Linked DNA regions of Lonchura striata. The protein of the gene in region 1 interacts with the protein of each later gene in a pairwise test. Links are inferred from orthologs where the notes say so. Each region holds a gene or a part of one and is shown in the gene's direction. Other genes may lie near its edges.

Region 1 (3,906 bases):
CGAGAACCGGGGCGGCTGTCCCGGGACAGCGCGGGATGGGGTCCCCGAGAACCGGGACAAGGCGGGATGGGGTCCCCGAGAACCGGGACAAGGCGGGATGGGGTCCCCGAGAACCGGGACAGCGCGGGATGGGGTCCCCGAGAACCGGAGCTGCGGGACCCCGCTGGGCGGGGGTCTCCCAGAATCGAACCGGGCCGGGTACCCCGGACCGCCCCGGGGCAGAGGAGCCCCGGGAGCCCCGGGAGCCCCGGGGATGGGGGTCCGCAGGGACCCCGCAAGGGGCGGGGCCTGTCTGTTGGGGGGTCTCCCTGCCGGGGTTTTTGGGGGCGGGCTCTGCAATTTGGGGGGATTCTCGCGCTCGGGGGCGTGGTCTAGCCTCACGGGGGCGTGGCCTGTGAAATTAGGGGCGGGGTCTATGGGCCGTGGGCGTGGCCTGGTGGGGCGGGGCTGCACGGGGCGGGGCCGGTACCGGGGGCGGGGCCGAGGGCGGTACCGGGGGCGGTGCCGGGGGCGGTGCCGGTATCACGGCGGGGCGGTACCGGGGGCGGTACCGGGGGCGGTGCCGGTATCACGGCGGGGCGGTACCGGGGGCGGTACCGGGGGCGGTGCCGGTACACGGCGGGGCGGTACCGGGGGCGGTGCCGGTATCACCCCGGGGCGGTACCGGGGGCGGGGCCGGGGGCGGGGCCGGGGGCGGGGCCGGTACACGGCGGGGCGGTACCGGGGGCGGTACCGGGGGCGGTACCGGTATCACGGCGGGGCGGTGCCGGTATCACCCCGGGGCGGTACCGGGGGCGGTGCCGGTAGCACCGGCGGGCGGAGCGGGCGCGGCCATGGCGCTGAACCTGGCCAAGAACGGGCGGGCGCTGCAGGAGGCCTACGGGAGCGTGGTGGCGGCGGGCAGCCGCACGGACTGGTGCGGGACCGGCACCGGCACCGGGACCGGCACCGGCACCGGGACCGGCACCGGGGATGGGTGGGGATGGGTGGGGGTGGGGGCCGGGACGGGCTCGGGGATGTGGGTGGCGGGTGGGGGATGGGGGTGCGGGGCCATGCGAGGGGGTGGGGAGGGGATGGGGATGGGCGGGGGGGGAGGGCAGGTATGGGCCGGTGGGTCTGGGGGACACGGGGGGATTTGGGGACGGGGTTGGGGGGCTCAGGGGGTCCCCGGGCTGGGGGTGGCGGGTCCCTCTGGGGCTCTGCCCCTCGGGAGGCGCCAGGGGTGTGGGAACACCCCAGATAAGCGCTGTGCTGGCCAAAAATCCCATTTCTGCCTTCATTTTAGGGCTCTCTTCACCTACGAAGGCAACAGCAATGACCTGCGAGTGGCTGGCTCTGGAGGTGAGGATTTTGGGGACCATCCCCCATTTCCAGGTGTCTGGGGCCTGAGATGTCGGGGGGTTTAATCCCCGGGGGTGTTTTGGGGTGCCCATGCTGCTGGGACAGGGCTGGGAGCTGTGTCGGGGTGTCCAGTGGGATTTCAGAGTGAGGGACCTGGAGCAGAGCCTCAGTGCCAGCTCTGCTTCCCCTTTCCTTTCGTTTGCCTCCCTTCCAGGGGATGCAAAGTTTGGATCTTGGCCCCTCTTTGCACCCCTCAAGTATTTTAGATCCCGGATTTAGGCAGGGCCACGTGGTCCTCCAAAGCCACTCACTCATCCAGGCCTCCCTACTCGGTGCTCCTAAATCCCCTCATGTCCAGTTCCCTTCTTCCTGCAGTTCTGTTTTATTTTTTTCATTTTATTTTGTTTTTGTCTGATTCCCACCCAAGCCCCGCTGGCTGTGAAGCCGAAGCCTCCGGGCAGCAGCACCAGGCTGGTTTCCCCACGCTTGGCATTTGCATCTTCTCATCCCTCCCCAGCTTCTCCTGTGATTTCCAAGTGCTTTTCCCAGCCTGTGGAAGTTTCTGGGATGTCCCACAGGTGGAGCCCACGGAGCCAGGGCTTTGGTGCTGGGGAATTCTGTTGAGGAGGACTCTTGTCAAATCCCAGATGGGGTTTTGGGGAATTTTGGGGAGTTTTGGGGAGCTGCAGAGAGCATGCCCCGAGCTCCCCCCAGCCAGCGCTCACCAACCAGCTTCAGACTTCCAACCTTCAACTTCCCTGCCGGGTTTGGAGCCAAATTTAGAGCCAAATCATAAATATTTAATAGGGAGAAGGAAGTGATCGGGTGATGCTGCAGAGCGGAGTGAGCTGTGTTGGTCTCTTTGCTCCTGCCAGGGCTGACAGGGACCAGTGGCTCTTTTCCCACTTTTCAGGGCTCAGCCAGCCCAGCACAGGAGGAACTGTGGTCTGGGGGAATATTTTTGAGATGAGAGTCTGCATTTTTGATGGTTTTCCTCCTTTCCTGGTAGTTATGGATGTAGTGGGGGCAATGCTGGTCCCTTTCCATCGCCCCTGCCTGAGCCCTGTGTGGGATTTTCCCTCTGGGGTTCACTCCCAGGTGCTCAAACCAGCACTGAGACCACTCTAGGTGGGTGTAACAGGGAGGGAGGCGTCGAGGCAGGAGTTTCCCCGTGCTGCCCTGGCAGGACCTTGCCCCGTGCTGCCCTTTTGGTTCCTTCTCTACTTGCAAAGCAGGAACAAGGCTCAGCCAGTTCCTCCGCCACTCCCAGCCCCATTGCCCCGCTCACAGAGGTGCTTCTGAGCCGGGCTTTGTGCAGGAACCTGTGGGCAAAGCTGGCAGCTGCCTGCTCTCATTAAAGCTTCTAATTGACTGAGCGTGAGCAGCTCCTTCCCCTTCTCTCTCAGGCCTGAGATCCAGGATCGGCCCGTGTGGGGTTTGCAAAGGCCCGAGGAAGAGGAGCTGGGTGATGAAGGCTGCTGGGGGTGGCAGTGGGCGAGCAGAGGCGGGGGCTTGGCTCCCACGGGTGGTAAATGCTCAGGCCGTGTTTGCAGAGCAAGCACGGGCTCCGAGCCCCTGGTGAGCCACATCCAGCAGAGCTGGGACGGGGCTGGCTGCTCCCCGCACGCCCGGGGGGCTGCACTCACCCCTCTCCTTCCCCCGGGCAGACGGGGGGCTGCAGGAGATGGTGGAGGAGCTCAACAGCGGGAAGGTGATGTACGGCTTCTGCCGCGTGAAGGATCCCAACTCGGGGCTGCCCAAATACGTCCTGGTCAACTGGGTGAGTGGGGACAGCCCTCGGGGCAGCTGGGGCCAGCCTGGGGAGGACACGGCTCCGGGGACGCCTCCGAGCCCCTTGCAGAGCTCCAGGGGCCCGGGTGAGCTGGGGAGGGGTCCGGGTGAGCTGGGGAGGGGCTCGGGTGAGCTTGGGAGGGGTCCAGGTGAGCTGGGGAAGGGCTCAGGTGAGCTGGGGAGGGGTCCGGGTGAGCTGGGGAAGGGCTCAGGTGAGCTGGGGAGGGGCTCAGGTGAGCTGGGGAGGGGCTCAGGTGAGCTGGGGAGGGGTCCAGGTGAGCTGGGGAGGGGCTCAGGTGAGCTGGGGAGGGGTCCAGGTGAGCTGGGGAAGGGCTCAGGTGAGCTGGGGAAGGGCTCGGGTGAGCTGGGGAAGGGCTCAGGTGAGCTGGGGAGGGGCTCAGGTGAGCTGGGGAAGGGCTCAGGTGAGCTTGGGGAGGGGCCCAGGCTCACATGCAGGTGCTGCAGCCCGAGGGGCTCAGGTGAGCTGGGGAGGGGCCCAGGTGAGCTTGGGGAGGGGCCCAGGCTCACATGCAGGTGCTGCAGCCCTCAGTGCACCCCGAGGGGCCCAGGTGAGCTGGGGAGGGGCTCAGGTGAGCTGGGGGAGGGGCCCAGGCTCACATGCAGGTGCTGCAGCCCGAGGGGCTCAGGTGAGCTGGGGAGGGGCCCAGGTGAGCTTGGGGAGGGGCCCAGGCTCACATGCAGGTGCTGCAGCCCGAGGGGCTCAGGTGAGCTGCCGGTGTCTCCTTGCAGACGGGGGAAGGTGTCAATGACGTG
Region 2 (3,906 bases), on another chromosome or scaffold:
TTGTTCCTTGGTGGAACACCTGTTGTGTGTGTGTGTGTGAAGTGTCTTCTGTTCTGACTCTGGGACCATCTTGATAGTGTTGGAAATCACCAGAGAAGTCAAAATGGGATCTTCGAACTTGAAATGAAAAATTCTGCTTCATTTCTGAGTACTAAAATTAGGAAAGAGAGAGAGTACAGCATGAGAAAGGTGAGAGGGGAAAAGCAGTACCTCAGGAACATGTGTTGGATGAAGAGGCATGGTTTAATGAGAATGTTGAGGCCAAAGAGTGTGGTAGTAGAAGTCGTGGAGTTTGGAGGGGAAAACCAGGAGTTAGGTGTGTCATATCAGAAAAGGGAAAGAGGAACTGAAGTATTTTTTCCAGTATTGCATATACTCAAGTGCTGTCATTCTAAATCTATTTTTTTTTTTACTAAATTGGAGAAACAGCTTGCAAAGATGCTAATGCAGACTCAGAAGAGTATACTTAGATAAAAGAGAACTCAGGGAGGAAAGATAGATTTAGAGCAGTGGGCCTTAAATGAGTAACGGATACTGTAACAAATAAAGCAAGTGAATTAATTCACAAAGCACTGAGATTAGTCCTCTGTAATTACTTTCTGTGTGAAAAATCTGTCAAGCCACTGAGACAACTGGGTATTGATCCTTATTGCAGAGCACTGGGATCTTTTGTTCTGATATGCAGATCCTTTTGGCTAACAGCAGGTGTGTGGTATTTATGGTTCAGTTTCCCTTCCTATAGAGCCTGGCAATGGAAGGAGTGCAAATGGGTGCCCTATGGTGGGAGAGCTGGTTTTTCTAGCCCATACAGCCGTGAGCAGTTTCTGAAATGTTACTTTCTTTTGTGCTTTGACTGTTGGGTCATTTACAAAAAGAGATGTTGTATGGAGACTTCTTCCTTCTATTTTGGGATACAGATTTATGGCTATTTCCTCCAAAATATGTGAAGTAAGCTTTTCTTGACATACTTATAGATGTTTTGACCATAATTCAGAAACTTGCTAGTTGATTTTGTCGTGCTCAAACTTTTGAGCCTGGAATGTTGTTTCAATCTAGACAAGTTAGTGAAACACTTGAATCCTTTTAAGAACGCCAGATGAAAGTAATTGTAAATCAATTACATTTATTCATTATCGGTTGGCGATACTTGTGAGCAATTGTGCACTGTCAACCTCTTGAATTTGAATTTTATTGCCTTTTGTGGTTTGTGTACCATCAACCATACCGGCCAGACTTGTTCTAAAGCATATTCATGCTGCAGAATTTTTCAGGATGGCTGTTTTGATTGTCTTGGGTTGAAGAGGGAAGGAGAAGCTCCAGCTGTGGGGAAGAAAACAGGTTAAATACTTACAGTTCTGTGGTGCAGTGCAAGTAGCTGAGGCACAGGCTCTTCAGGAGCACGGGCAGCATTTCTGAGCCGTGTCTCTGCCAGAGTGGGAGCTCCAGCACACTGGGAGAAAAAAGGACGACTTTCTTCTTCTCCCATAGGAAAGTGATTGATTGAAAGGTGCGTAGGAAGAAAGTGAGCACTGGAAAATCCCCTCTGCTTTCTAGCACGATGTCTGCCGGGCGTTGGAGCTGTGCGGGAATTGATTTATAACCTGTCTGGGAAGCTGGGAGATCTGACAGAGATAGCGCTGCCCGCAGCCAGTGGGGGGAACAGGAAGTAACAAAGGAAACAAGTCATTGCCTGGCGTCACTTTTGGCCACAGTGCACTGCAGATGCACAAGCAGCTGGGGCAGGCTTTCTTCTCCTTTTGTGTGTTGAGCAGACGGCAGCTGCAGCTGTGGCTTTCAACCTGGGAGTACCCAAACGCGGGAGAGGTGCAGGGATGTTCCTGCCATGCCTGAGAGGGGTCATAAGTTGTTAATGGCTTTGTCATCACAAAGGAAACAATCATTCGCTGAAACTGTCTGCAGAAGAACTATGTGTCGGTCGGACAAGGTCACCAGGTTAGTGCTTCTTGTGGCTTGTGTTTGTCATCTTTTCTCCTTCAGGTCGAGAGCAGACTGCAGCTAAGAGTGGGACATGGTATCTGAGCTAAAATACTTGAACTCCTGCAGAAAATTCAATGATAAAGGATTGGAGTGGGAAGAGATGAGTTGGGTGTTGGTTGAAAACTTGTCAGAAAAGAAAAGCAAGTTGAAGCAAGTTAAAGAGAGTGAATTTAGTTATACGCCGTATCTCAGTTGGGCTTATTTCTCTGTTCCCTTTGTCTTGTAAGATCTTGTTTTTACTTCAGTGTTTGTACTGTGCTATTAATCTTTCTGAGAGAGTATTGTGAAAGGGGCTGTTAGAGGTATTAAGAAATGGAATGTGTAACCAGAAAAAGTAGGTGAGATATAGAAGAGTATTTTAGAAGTACTGGAGAATAGTTAATAAATTTACAAGAGCAAATTTACAATCTGATAATTCTGCAGAAAGCAGTATTAAGAACAGATGGTACATGTTTAGATGATTGAAACAGAAATTATTCTAACTGAGAATTGCTGAGAGCGTGTAGGGGAAACTTTTCCTGTTCTGCACTGTGTAATGCTGCCTCATTTTTGGTAAAGCCTGATACTTCAGTCTCCCTCTGCATAATTTAGCTATGTTTTGCTTCCACTAAAAATTTAAGGACTAGAGGTTATGAGATTACAGTTGTAAAAGTTCTCAGTAATTGGCATAGAGAGCGTTGTTACAAATTCAGGCTGGTTTTTTGTTTTTTCCAGCATGACCAAACAGGGCCAGATCATAAATATTATTGTAATATGTGATAACTTTTAAAACAACTATTGGCAGCTGTAATCTCAGAAGAGGGTAATATTTTTTTTGCCTATATACTGCAAGATGTGGAGATAATCACATCTGCCATATATTCTGCTGAAGTTAAGCAAGATCTGAGGACTTTTCCAGGATGCAATCCTTAATTGAATCAACTTGTATTTGCTCTAATTGGGCTGAACTCCAATAACTCTTAAGGCCAAGAGGGATAAGTGTTCTTCTACAATGTAATCCAGATTTTTCATGTGGCAGAATTTTACTTTTACTCGTGGAGGGCCTTTCAGCCTGTAAAGTTATACCCTAGCCTTCCTTCTAGCTATTCTCTATCTATTGAGCGAGCAGTTAGATTAAAATTGCCTCACAGATATAGATCTTTACCTGCTACACAATAACAGAAGTCTGCTATCCATTCAGAGTTTGAACTTGGTGGCAGTACTATGTTTCAGTACTATGTTTCACTTCTGTATCTGACTGGCCCTATCCTGGTTACGAGATGAAGTGTGTGAATTCACTTTTTTTCCTGCTGTTTAACTTTCAGGGTACTTTGAAATAAAAGCTGGCTCATTGTGATAGTGTTTGAGAAAAGTATGCTGATGTGATAGACTTGGGGTGACTTTGATACATTAGCAATACACTGCAAATTGTTTTAGTTTTCAGTCTGGTAGACCAGTTTGTATATAAGAAGCAGTTACAATAATGATTATAAAAGCTCTGTATCATGCTCCAGGGTGCTGATTGCACCGTTCTGTCTTTCCAAAAGCACTCTTGAATGATGAAGCACATCCTAGAAACTGCTGTTCTACTATTTCTCCTGCTACACTGCAAGGCCTTTCATCTCCCGCATAGGCATATAATTGTCACAGGGATCACCTGAGAAACAGTGATGCAAGACCTTTCCGTGACTGCTGCGGTCCTCTTCTTGTTCAGAGGGTTCCATTCAGTGGGGGAGAAAATTAATTCAGTAGCCACATGCAGTGGGTTTGGGACTTGGTGGAAAAACTGGTTAAAAATATGTATCTAATTCCTTGGTGAGTGGGAAGAGGAATAAAGTGTGTATCTATTACTAGAAGCTTTCACCAAATAATGCATGGGATGTTGCCCTCTGTTTGTGACGGAGAACCAGTGTCAGGAGGAGCTTTGGC

What was found.
Region 2: the proteins of DBNL (region 1) and SH3BP2 interact in binary tests that used the Homo sapiens proteins (3 or more experiments, as listed by UniProt). The link is inferred for Lonchura striata from reciprocal best matches to the Homo sapiens genes DBNL and SH3BP2.

What each region holds. Positions count from the first base shown.
Region 1 is NC_134634.1:5,292,202-5,296,107, forward strand, and holds the start of DBNL (drebrin-like protein), read left to right. Parts: upstream 1-795; 5' UTR 796-833; coding exon 834-916; intron 917-1,285; coding exon 1,286-1,341; intron 1,342-3,008; coding exon 3,009-3,121; intron 3,122-3,882; coding exon 3,883-3,906. UniProt on the Homo sapiens protein: Adapter protein that binds F-actin and DNM1, and thereby plays a role in receptor-mediated endocytosis.
Region 2 is NC_134606.1:9,292,143-9,296,048, forward strand, and holds the start of SH3BP2 (SH3 domain-binding protein 2), read left to right. Parts: upstream 1-1,723; 5' UTR 1,724-1,843; coding exon 1,844-1,953; intron 1,954-3,906. UniProt on the Homo sapiens protein: Binds differentially to the SH3 domains of certain proteins of signal transduction pathways. Binds to phosphatidylinositols; linking the hemopoietic tyrosine kinase fes to the cytoplasmic membrane in a phosphorylation dependent mechanism.